Drosophila melanogaster: one gene and its partner. The gene in region 1 interacts genetically with each later gene. Each region holds a gene or a part of one and is shown on either strand. Other genes may lie near its edges.

Region 1 (4,943 bases):
ATCTTCATCAGCTACATCGACCTGCTCAATACGCCGGAGCAGAGGCGTCTGGACCTCAAGGAGCACTACTACTTCCTATGCGTGTGCAGCAAGTGCACGGATGCCAAGGAATCGAAGGAGATGCTGGCTGCCCTGTGTCCCAATCGCAACTGCGGTGCGGGAATCAGTGTGGACCGCAATAATTGCCCGCGATGCGATGCCGGCATCAGTCCCAAGTTGAGAAATGCCTTCAACGAGGCGATGACTCTGACCCGGCACAATCTGGAGAACATGAAGGACGTGGCCTGTGAGTAGATGCGACGAAATGGAATTAGCTCCATAATAAGCACATTTTCACTCTCTCGATCACAGATCTCGATGTGTGCAAGGTGTGTCTGGACAAGCAGACTGGCGTGTTCCATCCCCTGAATGTGTGGTACGTCAAGACGCTCGATGCGGCCTTCGAAGCAGCCATCGAAGTGGGCAAGTGGAGCGACGCCCTGGATTACGGGCAACGTTTGCTGCCAGGCTTTCGAAAATACCACGGACCCTGGAATCCGCTATTGGGCCTGCTTCACATGAAGCTGGGCAAGATTCAGCTCTACGAGGGCCATTCCAAGGAGGCACTGCACCATCTGGAGGAGGCCCAACGCATCCTAACCGTCACCCACGGCCGAGATCACAGACTGCTTACTGAGCAGCTATACATGCTCGTTCTACAAGCGCGACAAGAGGCGCACTAATGGGATTTAGTTGTTTTTATTCATTTAAATAAGTCTTAAGTTAAATATTGTGTTGCGTTGCGGGAAGAATGGAATGGATTTTTGTGGATAATTACTTTTCTATGTACAACAGAAACCATTCGGAGAATTAAAGATTATCAAATTCTATTACTTTTGGCATTTGTGGTAAACAATTCAAGGAATTAAAGTAAGGACACATTGATGGTGATCATCAAATTTAGACTCCGTTTACCACCTCAAATGTGATGTCTATCCGCCGTTCAACATTCCTCGCTCGCAAAAAAGGCGCACGCGCCCTATACAATCTGCGTAATGGCCTTGGCCCGCCAATCCGTATCCTGGAACAACGCCCTGATTAGGTGCTTTATCTCATCCGACTTGTAGCTGGCGGTCAGCGGGCCGACGCCGTCGCCCCACAGCTCTGTGATCTCCATGAGCGACGCGTTCAGCATGGCCTTCAGTTGCTGCAGCTTAAGCCAAGAGAGCACCTGGACCACCTCGTTTGGTTCGCGGAAAAGCGTGGGCGCCCGCTGGAGCACCACGTCAATGAGATCGCTCAGCTCACAGGCCATCTGTGCGGAAATGTCGCGCAGCGTGAACACTCGACGGATTAGCTCGGCGACAAATGTGTTGATTAGCTCGCAGAAGGTTGCATTGTACACGGTCTCCGGGAGCACATTGGCCCACACGTTCTTCAGCAGCTCCAGCTGGCGAAGGCACTGACGCACCAGCTTCAGTGGACCAGAGCCCAGCGTGTGCGTGCTCTCGAACTCGAACTCCTGCATGATGCCCATCAGGATGGAGGATTGGTAGTCGACCTGCACGCGGAAATGCTGCTGACCGGTGGCCTGCAGTGTCTTGGCCAGCGCCGCCAAGCTTTCGATGCCCTTGTTCGCATGCTGCGCTACCCAGTGTGTGAAGAACATACAATTGTTGTGGAACAGGACGGCCTGCTGTGGAATGCTCTCGAGCAGCTTGCGGTGCACCTTGGGCACCTCATTGATGTAGGTGTGCAGCATGATGGAAATGACGCCGGCTATGGGATCGGCCTCTTGGTCGCCCAGTTTATCCGTGGGCTGGCGAAGAATGCGGTCCATTAGTTTGACAAAGTCCTGCCGGCGAAAATGAATCCATTAGTGCGTAATCAATCGTTTCGTTTAGCGAACGACTTACCTGAGCACTTTTCGAGATCATGCAGCGTGGGAAGAGGAAGGGATCGTTTGCCACTTCGGCTGAGTGGTTGTTGGGCGCCACCAGCACCATGTCCTGCAGATCGCGCTGGATGATCTCCCGCGCCGTTTCCAGAACTCGACGATACATCCGATTGCGGTAGTAGGTCTCGTACTTCTCTACAAACTGCCCTAGGGCTCGATCTTGCTCGGGATTGATGATGAATGAGTCTACAAGCAGCTGCTCCAGCTGGGCGACATCCTCACACAGCGTGGATGTCTGATACTCCTCCGTGCTTTCGGGCACAGCTGGTATCAGGCACTCGTCCACCAGTAATTTCAGCATTTTATCCTTCACATGATCGCCAATAATGCCAAAAACATGTTGGTCCCTGGACACACTGCAGTTGATCCCGGCCAGCGTGTGCAGCAGCAGCCTGAGGTTCTCCAAGACCTGCTTGTAGTTCGGGCGAAGCTGCGCTGAGCTGGGCTCCTTGGTGGCGTAGGAAAGCGACAATCGAACGTAGGTGCCACCATCGGCTTCTTCGCTGTAATCGGCCATCACTGGGCGCATGATCACCGGTTCTATGCAATTGTCCAGCAGGAATTCGCAGAGGCGCGCCGGATTGTAGGGCTCCTGGAAGAGAGCCTGCACAATATCCTGCAGCTGCGTTTGATCCCGGCTCACCTGCAAGGTGACGCAACGCGATGTGGGAAAGGATTTGCACTGCAGCTGCACCAGGCGATCGAAGCGCTCCTGGAGGCTCTGCTGCAGCATATATGCCTGTACATGGTATTTCACCTTGATGGTCTCGTAGCACTCGAGAGCCTTAAAGATGCGTCGAACCTCTGGCGTGGCCACCTGCGCGTCCCCGTCAACGGAATCATCGCCATAGATGAAAGCCCTCAAACGACCGACAAGGTCCAGTAACACCAAGTAATCCTTGGTGGCCTTGGCCTCCTCCACGCACTGGAACAGCTCGTCGATCCTTAGCACATGCTCGCTGACACCCAGACCCAAAAGGATCTCTCGCAGCTGCCTGCCGTTACCCGCCATCTTGACATTCGCCTCGTCCAAGGCGTCCAGTCCCTCGGAACCCAAGTTCTCGAGCATGTCGTGAATCTCGCGATTCAAGGACCCCGACTCCTCCAGAAATATGTCCGGCGACGTGTTGTTGGGCAAAAACTCCGTGTAGTTGTCTTCGATGTGCTTGCGGACGCGCATCTGGAAGCGATTAACGCGCGTCAGCACTTTTAATATGGCCGATTGGGTGGCCTCCACGTTGGCGCACCCGTTCCCATTGCCGTTGAACGCCTCCTCCAGCACATTGAACCGCGGCGCCTCTTCCTCCATGTCCTGCTCTTTGACCAGATCCTCCTTTTCCAATTCTTGCGAAACCCAAGACAACTGGTTTCTGCAATTCCCTGTTGCTACCAACGATTGTTCAAAAAAGCGATAGATATGTGCGGCTGTCTGCTATCGGCTATCGGCGAATTGGCTAGTTGACAAGAATTGGGCTCTTATCACTGGCAGTAGCTAAAATAGTTGTAGATCTAGGTAGCTTTTATTTTTATGTATAAGTATGTAGATACACTGTCAATGATTCATTTTGTCAAATCGGCGTGCACAAATCGTCCAACCACATTTTTGCAAATGTGCTATTCAAGAGCCAAATTATAAAAAAATCGAAATCTTTCTACACCGGCACCTCCGTCGATCGCGCCACTAATCGACATCTGCAACGAATCGATAACAACGCCATTTTTAAAAATACTGGCAGAAATGCATTTGCTTCTTAGCGTCGCGTTTCATTAGTTTAGTTCCTTGATCCAAAAATCGAATTCATTGAGAGTGCCGGGCTGCGCGTGGAGAAGCCGCGTTGCTCCAAAATCTAGACCAACCAAAATTCTAAGTTTTTGTAAGTGCTAACCAGTTGATCAGTTAACCAAAGTCGGACTTGCTGTGCCCCAGAGAAGGTAAGTGGTTGGTGGTGTTGGTCGAGATGGCGGTAAAGGTGATGGAATGTTATGATTGTCCTTCCCTCCCCCTACCCCCAGATGTCCAGCGAGGATCCCAGCTGTGTGGCAGTGGCCTTGCGCGTGCGCCCCTTGGTGCAGTCCGAGTTGGATCGCGGCTGCCGGATTGCCGTCGAACGATCGGCGGATGGAGCGCCACAGGTTACAGTCAACCGGAATGAGTCGTATACGTACAACTATGTCTTCGACATTGACGACTCGCAAAAGGATCTATTCGAGACGTGTGTACAGGCCAAAGTGAAAAAGCTGTTAAATGGCTATAACGTAACAATCTTGGCATATGGACAAACGGGTTCCGGAAAGACCTACACTATGGGCACCGCCTTCAACGGAGTGTTAGATGACCATGTGGGCGTTATACCACGCGCCGTTCATGATATATTCACAGCCATTGCGGAAATGCAGAGCGAATTTCGTTTTGCTGTCACATGCTCTTTTGTGGAGCTCTACCAGGAGCAGTTCTATGACCTTTTTTCGTCGAAAACTCGGGACAAGGCCACCGTAGACATCAGGGAGGTCAAGAACCGTATTATCATGCCGGGCCTCACCGAGCTAGTGGTCACATCCGCCCAGCAAGTGACCGATCATCTGATCCGCGGCTCAGCCGGACGGGCTGTGGCCGCCACGGCTATGAATGAAACCTCTTCAAGATCCCATGCCATATTCACATTGACGCTAGTAGCCACCAAGCTGGACGGCAAGTATGTTGTGGGCCGCCATCACCTCGTTAGAATACTTAATGCTTATACACATTTGACCTCCAATCTCCGATAGGCAATCCGTTACCACGTCCAGGTTCAACCTGGTGGATCTGGCTGGTTCTGAACGCTGCTCAAAGACCCTAGCCAGCGGCGATCGGTTCAAAGAGGGTGTGAACATCAATAAGGGTCTTCTGGCCCTGGGCAACGTGATCAATGCCCTGGGATGTGAGTATCTATCATTTAGCCACTGGCTTGAAAATTGATCTCCATTTTTATATATTCCATATAAATTGCAGCTGGCCAGGCCGCTGGCT
Region 2 (7,844 bases), on another chromosome or scaffold:
GCTTCATCTTTTCCTTGCGGGCCACGAGCTTCTTAGTTTCGCGCACCATGTAAATGGCCTCTGGGTTGGTCATATAGTCGTGAATGATCTGGAAGGCATTAAGAATATGATTAAAAACTCGCTAAAACCTAATCCTCTCGCTATTTAGCTACCTTTCGCTTTTTAGGACAGTGGGCGAATACCCAAATGAGGGTGCACAAAGTGTTGAATATCTCACTGTCTTTGTCGCACCAGCGCAATAACATCTGGGCAATGGTGACCAAACCGCCCTCCTGGAACGTGTTCACCGTGGTGCTATTGTAGCGGGCCAAATTTAGGATGATCCGGCTGCAGCGCTCTATAAGCTGCTTATCCACCTCTGATCGAATGGCCTGAGCCATGATGCCATAGCAAAACGTGGACATGAACTCCGAACACCACATGAGCAGGTGTGGCACAGTGCGCGAAAGACGATCTGCCGGGATTATTAAGCAGGATTAGTTATAATAAGGACTAACGTAGCTGGATCACTTACCCAATCGACTTAGCACTGCTAACGCATCTGATGCGATAAAGCGTCCGCGAAGGAAACGCACCGCCTCCTGGACTTTGCAGCGCACAGAGTTTACCGCCTTTGCCTCTTGCCGCAGCTGAGCAATACGCTTCCGGATATCCAAGAGACCCTGGTGCTTCTGACGTCGTCGGATTAGATAGCCCCGCCAGTAACGCTGTATAACCTTGGCGGCGCGCTTCTGGCGGATGAGGTCCATCATCTCGGGTGTCATCAGGGCCTGGAATCGTTTGCGAGCCATAAAGCCGCGGGCACGTGCCTGGAAGCCCGGCATGGAACAGCGGAGCAGTTGGAAACAATTACGCTGCTCAATCATTAGACGCTTGCCACGGAACTTTTGTTGCAAATGGACTGCAATAGTACGCAGCTGGACAAATTCCTGGCGTGCCTGCTTCATGCTGCGATTAGCACGGAATTTGCGCTGCACCAGGATCACAGAGGATTGGATTAATTGGTAATCCTGTCTCGCCTTTAGCATAGCACAGCGAGCACGAAACCGGCGCTGGATCACTACGGCAGCCCTTCGCTTCATCTCGAATTCCCTGCGCTGCTGACGCATCAGTAAAGTTGCTCTGATAAATGCCTGCATAAGTCGCACTTTGCGGATGGTGCTTAAGAAGATCTCCCGTTGGCGACGAGCCTGCACTGTGGCCCGCCACTTGCGTTGAATGCTCAATGAACTGAGTCGAATCCTTCGGTAGCCCGCTTTGCACAGCCGCATGTCGCGTATACTGCGCCACCATTTCTGCAAGCGGATGACTGCCTGGCGCTGTTTTTGGTAGACTTCAATCTGCTTCCTCATCTCCAGATTGCCGCGGTATCGTCGTTGCACTTTGATAATGGCTTCCCTTTGCTTTTGGTACAAGACCACCTGCTTTTGCATTGCCTTCTTGGCTCTATATCGGGTTTGAATGGTAATAGCTGCCTGTTTCAGCTGGGCGTAACTCTTCAACTGCTTGATCATATTCAGACGAGCTCGGTACCGTCGCTGCAGTGTTATTGCTGCTTGACGCAGTTGTAAGAAACTGTTCCTCTCCCGTTTCCTAAGGAGATGATTACGCCAATGCATCTGCAGGCAGCTCACAGCAGCCTGGGTGCCGCGGTACTTGGCTCGCATGAACCGCATTGATTTTTGAGCATGGAATCTGCGCTGCAGCTTTATGGTAACCTCGCGCAGATGTAGGTACTCCTGGCGCTCCTTTCGCATCTGCAGCAAAGCCCGCCGACGTTTCTGGACTACAAGGGTAACCTTTTTCAGCTGAAGAAACTCGGCTCTTTGCTTTTTCATTTCGCGCTTGGCACGGAACTTGATTTGAATTCGTTTGGTTGTCGTTTGGAGATGAAGGTAGTTCTTCCTTTCTCGACGCATCTGCAGAGTGGCTCTCCAGCGCCTCTGGACATTGATGATACATTTGCGGGTTCTTAAATATGCATTTCTATCCTGGATCATTTGTTGACGCATGCGGTAGCGTTTTTGAACTAGTATTGAAGCATTTCGCAGCCTCAGATAATTTTCCCTCTGTTCGCGCATTTTCATGATGGCCCTCAGTCGCTGTTGCAGGCAGATAACATTTTTTCGCAGGGAATAGTAGTGATTACGATCTATTCTCATCTGGATTGTGGCTTTCCTGTAAGCCTGAACTTTAAGAACGCTGGAACGAAGTGCCAAATAATCAGCGTTGCACTTTCTCATTGAAAGCTTCGCTCGCCAGCGTTGTTGGATATTTATAGCTGCACGCTTTAGTTGCTGGAACTCCTTGCGCTGCTCCAGCATACTCCACTTGCTTCGCATCCTGCGCTGAACAAACATGATGAGGTCCCTCTGGCGCAGGAACTGCTGTCGCTGAATTCTGCCCAGCTGATAGCTTCGCCATTGCATTTGAATATAACTAGCAGCTGCCTGTTGTTTTTGCGATCGCTGAAGTCTGGCTGTTTCCGCCGCCGCCAATAGTTTTTTGGCAAAGAGTCGTCGCCGCCAGATCCGCTGAAGAAAGATCGCAGCCTCTCGGAGCTCCACAAACCGCTGGCGGTGCTGCCTTCCCAGTTGTTGGGCTCGCCACCAGCGCTGGATGGTGATAATACTGTGATAGCTCTGATATAGCTGCTTCTGGGCCAAATACCGACGGGTGAACTTTTGCAGAATTATTGCGGCCTGAGTGCGTTCCGTCTTAAACAACTTCACGTACTTTCTCATCTGGTGGCCACGGAACACGGCCTGAATGACAGTAGCGGCCCGGTGGCGACGCATAAGCTCTTTGTGGCGAATGCGACGCTGGATAACAACGTGCAGCCAGTGACGGCGCCACCATTTCTGGAGCACCGTGGCCGCCGCATGAAACTTGGGCGAGCGGAATTTGTAAATAAGTTGCCAGAGCAGGGAAAGCGTCTTCTCACGATGTCCGTCAACGATGTCTTGGGCGGCGATGTCGCCGCCTAGCTGGAAGTTGGCTTCACCAAGTGCGCCCAGAGCTAGCTTTACATTGAAGATCCGCTGAAGGCGAGAGATGGCTGGCACCCTTAACTGGCGGGTTAGATCATCGCGTAGTAAAATTACCTCCATGACTCGGGTTAGTCTCACGCCATCTCTTAGGTCCACAGCCAAGTTGTTGAAGGCATAATCGAACTCGTCCAAAAATGTTTGGCGGTGCTGTAGAACGTAGCCCAGGCGACGAAGTTCCCGCGTAATATCACCAATGTTGGCGAGCAGCTCCGACGAGAAGCGCAGCAGAATATCCTTGGTCTCTTTATGTGGCGACTTTTTAACAAACAAACAGGGATTGTGCTTGACGATGCGCTTCTGCTTAGCTTGATCGAGGAAAAGCAGCAAAAAGAGGATTTTCTGCAATGAGTGCTTCTTAATGGTCTCCGCGTACTCTTCGGTGAGTGTGTATGCCTTGCTGTACCTCTGCTCCTCACACTTATTCCGGAACAAGCGATTGAGGATAAAGGTGCTGAGGCCTACAATGTCTCGATTAGACTGCATCTGGATCTTCTCGCCAAAGACCACTTCCAGTCCAAGGCGCAGCCAAAGGGGATTGAAGCAAAGCAGCAGCTCAAGTATGGTGCGTTGCATAACTACGTCTAGGTGAAGATTACGATCGCTACGGATGCGCAGAGCTTGCTTGTTGACATATACGGCCACTTTGGAGCATGGCAGGCGCATCTGCTCACTGAAGAAGAGCTCCACAGCCGCCTTACGAAGCGTCTCCAGGCGGTATTTCGTTAGGTAGTTCATAGACTGCTCCTCCTTGGTGGGAGCCACCACGAGCTCTTTGTTGCGCACCTCGTTAAACAGCTTACCAACGTCTATTTTGTTATTTAAATCTGCGTCCAGGTCAGCGGGTATGGAGACAAGGGCATTTAACCACTTTTTAAAGTCAGCTTGATGACGATCCACAGCCTGTTCATCCAAATACATGGTAGATGCCAGAAATGGATCAATTGTCGTAGTTGCTGCAAATGGATCCGGGTTGATGCACGTCTGCATATACAGCTCCGAGTCATAGAGCTTGACGGAAGGCTGAATGCTAGTGTCCCTGACTTTTCGTGGTGTGGCGGGCTTCTTCATCAGTGACATGGTTTGTGCTAGCTTAAACTTCTTGGATTGGGCGTGTGGCCAGGCGTGGGCACTACTGCTTCTTGCAGATGCATTTGCCGGCGCTGCACTTCTGGGCAGAGTAGTGTCCTCAACCCGTTGCTTTTTAGGAGGGGAAATGGCTACAGTTTCATTGCGGTACAATGATTCGTTGCTAGGTGCATCCGAAAAACTCAACTCATGAGAGCGGCGCTTGTGAGGATTCTTCACCGGACTTCCCTTCACCGACTTCCGACCTACTTCATGGAGATTAAAACGACTGGACTGAGCGAGGATCTCACTGTGGTTGAATAGAAACTCCTGCTGGCCGGCCAAACTAGCCTCGCTACTAGAGGAGCTATTCAAGTCTTTGGCCTTTATCTGGATCTGCTGCTCCTGGTAATATCTATTCTGTTCGATCGAGCGGATTTTCATTTCATTTAGATTAGGCATAGACCCTTGAATGGCATACTTAGTTTGTGGCGATAGAAGTGACAAATCTTTCATGGACTCGGAATACTTTCGTAAGGGTGAACCCACCAACTTAATGTCCCTCTTCAGGTCGTGTATGGCGCTCTTCGTGGGCGTCCTAGGTGGACTTGGTCCCTCCTCCTCATGAATACAGGCCAGAGCTCTGGTGTGCGTGGCATGCACAATGGTTGTTGTCTTATTTAGGGGCGTATGCGGTTGTCCATCGATCCTGGAGCAGTCCAAGGTGTCCAACGAAATATTGATAGTCTCGGAATGCTTTACATCGAACGTTTTGTTTGTGGCAGGCTGATCTTCTAGATCATCTGGAGTGATTCGACGCGGCCGCATATCATTAGCACATGATTTTACATTCCCTTTAAGTGTTGGTGTGGGCCAGGCTGCCAGATTGTCCGGGAAAATGGTAGCTTGTCCTTTGCCACGGGTTTCGGTGAGAGGTGTGAATCGCAGATTGTCAATCACGTCGAGTAGGTTTCCTGGCGTCATAGGGCTTAGATTTTCCTTAAGACTGCGAGGCTGTGGTGATATGTATACGGGCTCTTCTTGTGGAGTCTTGTATACATTCTTCTCGACAAGAGGAGCCTGTGGAGGTGGATGTGCCCATGCAGCGGGACGCGAAGGAGCAGTCACTCGCCATGTCTGCTTGGAGGGAGGCGCTGCTGCTGCAGACATGCGCTTCTTTTGCTGCACAGCAGCGGATACCACGCTTTTCATTGTCTTGCCAGCTCCTGTCGGCGATTTCAGCTGCAGGGTCTTGCCGACAGTAGGAAATTTGCGCGGGTTCTTCAGGTAGAAAGGTAAGAGATACATGCAAAAGAGGGTATGTAAGTAAAAGGGGTGGCAAATGCATTTTTTGACTGACCTTGACCGGCTGGTTGCTCTTGGACTTGAGTATGATCATCACCTCCTTTCGGAAGTTGCGGTTGTCTATTAGCTGCAGCGTCTCCTTGCAGGCCACCTCAAGGACGGGGCTCCACACTAGCTCCATGGATACCTCATCTCTTGCAGGCACCGTGTGCTCCATCCACTCCAGGCTTAAGTTGTGCTCCTCCCGGATGGCCTTCATTACCTTGACCTGTAAAACATTGATCAAATAACAGTTGCCAGGCCGTATGCAACCCACTAACCTCGATGTCGTCGTCGCTGGGATTGAGAACGCGCACCTGGCGCCGTGCTGTCTTTGTTATCGGCACATCCTCGAACTGCACAATCGCCTTGGCGGAGAACGGAGCCATGACGACGACGGCGGGCTCGCGTCCTTCGGCGCGCTTCTTTTGCTTTAGGCGCGATGGCGTCACTGTGATCTGTAAGTACCGGTAATCTAGTTATTTCTCGGAAAATTATTGCCGGAGTTCCAAAAAGAGGACTCAACTAACCTCAAAGGCGCTCATTGCAGGGAATGGCCAAAACAGAAATAACTTGAACTAAACAGAAACGGGCTCGCAGCTAACTTAGTGGTCCATTAACACAGCGACTAACTAATCAATTAACACAATTAACGAACAAAAATTAAACAAATTAGAGCGTCGCCGCACAAATCCAAATTCGAACTGAAATTCGAAACGAAGCGACGCCGATACTCGATTGCTTGATTGCTGGAGCAAAGGGCTATCGAACAATTCGACCTATCGATTGTGAAATGTTAGGGGTCTTCAGAATGGTTTTCGATAGACTTAAAAATATAAGGATTACATTTGTCCGCAATTTTTAAACATAAATTATTTAATATGATAAGATCATTCTAAGGAATATTATTTTGTGTAATTTTACATAAATTGTGAGTAACCCAGATGTGTTAACACCACCAATCGATATCCTCAGTGTGAACGTTGCACAGTTTTATAGCGCCAAATTCAAATGTGTATTATCACAGATATAAATATTATGTGCCTTTAAAAATAAAATATAGGGTAAACAAAATGACTCGAAATATCTTTTATTCACAATCTATTTACAAATTTCAACAACAAACATTAAACTCTAAATCCCTTCGCTGGACCTCTCATTTTATCTAAATGAGTCTGCTGGGTGGCAGGAGGTGGTCGCTGCCCGTTTCTGAGGAATACATGCTCTTGAGATAGCCCGGAAAGGGTGTAACCGCGTCGAAATCCTCGCCAACAGAATCTTCCGGTGGATCCACGGCCATGAAGGAGATGGCGAAGCCTCTCAATGAGTTACTCTCGTCCGTTTGGAATCGCAACAGAAGGGTGTCCGAGTTGGAGATTATGATTGGCGGCTTGTGCTTTCCGCAAAATCTGCCGTGGATAGTGTTCATTGAGTAGCCCTCCTCGGTGATCTCCAGATAATCGTAGTCGCATCGCTCCGAGTACTCGATCTCGAAGTGTAGGAAACGGATCTTGACACTGCTTTCCGGGTCTGCCTGAATGCGCCAATCGCAGTACATGTTCCGCTTGTACGGCCTACTGCCGTATCGTGGATGCGAGTAGAAGGTCTGTGAATGATTTGTGGCCCTCAAGTAGCCACCACATTCGGAGACAAAGGTGGCCTTGAAACCCTTTCTCTGAAGACCCGCATCCGTGGCCAGTACCATAAACATCTCATTGGTGGAGGCAATAACGGCATACGGTTCACGTCCACCGCAATAGATGCCCAATGTTGAGCTATTTTCGGAGCGACCATCATAGATAGCCACATAGTCGTAGATGCACTCCTGGTGGCTCTCCACCTCAAAGTCGTGGAATGTCAACTGTATCCGGTGGCCCAGTACGGTCTGAAAATGCCAGTAGCAGTAAATGTTTCTTGGATAATCCTCCGGATAGTTGGGACTCTGCAACACTCCATACGACGTGGTGATCTCGAACTTGCAACGCGTCTCCGTGCAGTTGTGTCCATTTTCAGCCAATGTGTATCCATTGCGGCAGCTGCACTGATAGGATCCAAAGGTGTTTCGGCATCGGTGCTGACAGCCACCATTGTTCATTGAACACTCATCCACATCTGTGGAATAATGATATTATAGATCGTACGTAAATTAATTTTTTTCTGTAAGTTACCTATTACAAACTTGGCCACAAATCCACTTCTCTGGACAGTGCGATCCGAGTAGAACTCCAGCCTGAGGATACTCTGCTCGGAATTCACCACTGGAGGTAGTTCATGACCACAATAAATGCCAATCTTCTTCAGGCGATTATCCCTCATTTTGGAGTATATAATCAGGTAATCATAGTTGCACTTGGTGTAGTGAAACCGTGTGCCCTCCAAATCAAA

The links.
Region 2: of Zw10 (region 1) and asp, changing one suppresses a phenotype caused by changing the other (phenotypic suppression), as found in Drosophila melanogaster (one study listed by BioGRID).

Annotation. Positions count from the first base shown.
Region 1 is NC_004354.4:2,602,605-2,607,547, reverse strand, and holds Zw10 (Zeste-white 10), read right to left. Parts: upstream 3,352-4,943; 5' UTR 3,246-3,351; coding exon 1,896-3,245; intron 1,835-1,895; coding exon 1,019-1,834; 3' UTR 724-1,018; downstream 1-723. Other genes in the region: Smyd3 (SET and MYND domain containing, class 3), read left to right, coding at 1-286, 352-722; Klp3A (Kinesin-like protein at 3A), read left to right, coding at 3,950-4,629, 4,703-4,854, 4,926-4,943. UniProt on the Drosophila melanogaster protein: Essential component of the mitotic checkpoint, which prevents cells from prematurely exiting mitosis. Required for the assembly of the dynein-dynactin, Mad2 complexes and spindly/CG15415 onto kinetochores.
Region 2 is NT_033777.3:24,752,201-24,760,044, reverse strand, and holds the start of asp (abnormal spindle), read right to left. Parts: upstream 6,197-7,844; 5' UTR 6,005-6,196; coding exon 5,990-6,004; intron 5,918-5,989; coding exon 5,741-5,917; intron 5,689-5,740; coding exon 5,476-5,688; intron 5,397-5,475; coding exon 515-5,396; intron 455-514; coding exon 153-454; intron 89-152; coding exon 1-88. Other genes in the region: tld (tolloid), read right to left, coding at 6,625-7,571, 7,628-7,844. UniProt on the Drosophila melanogaster protein: Required to maintain the structure of the centrosomal microtubule organizing center (MTOC) during mitosis. May have a preferential role in regulating neurogenesis. Required for germ cell mitosis and oocyte differentiation.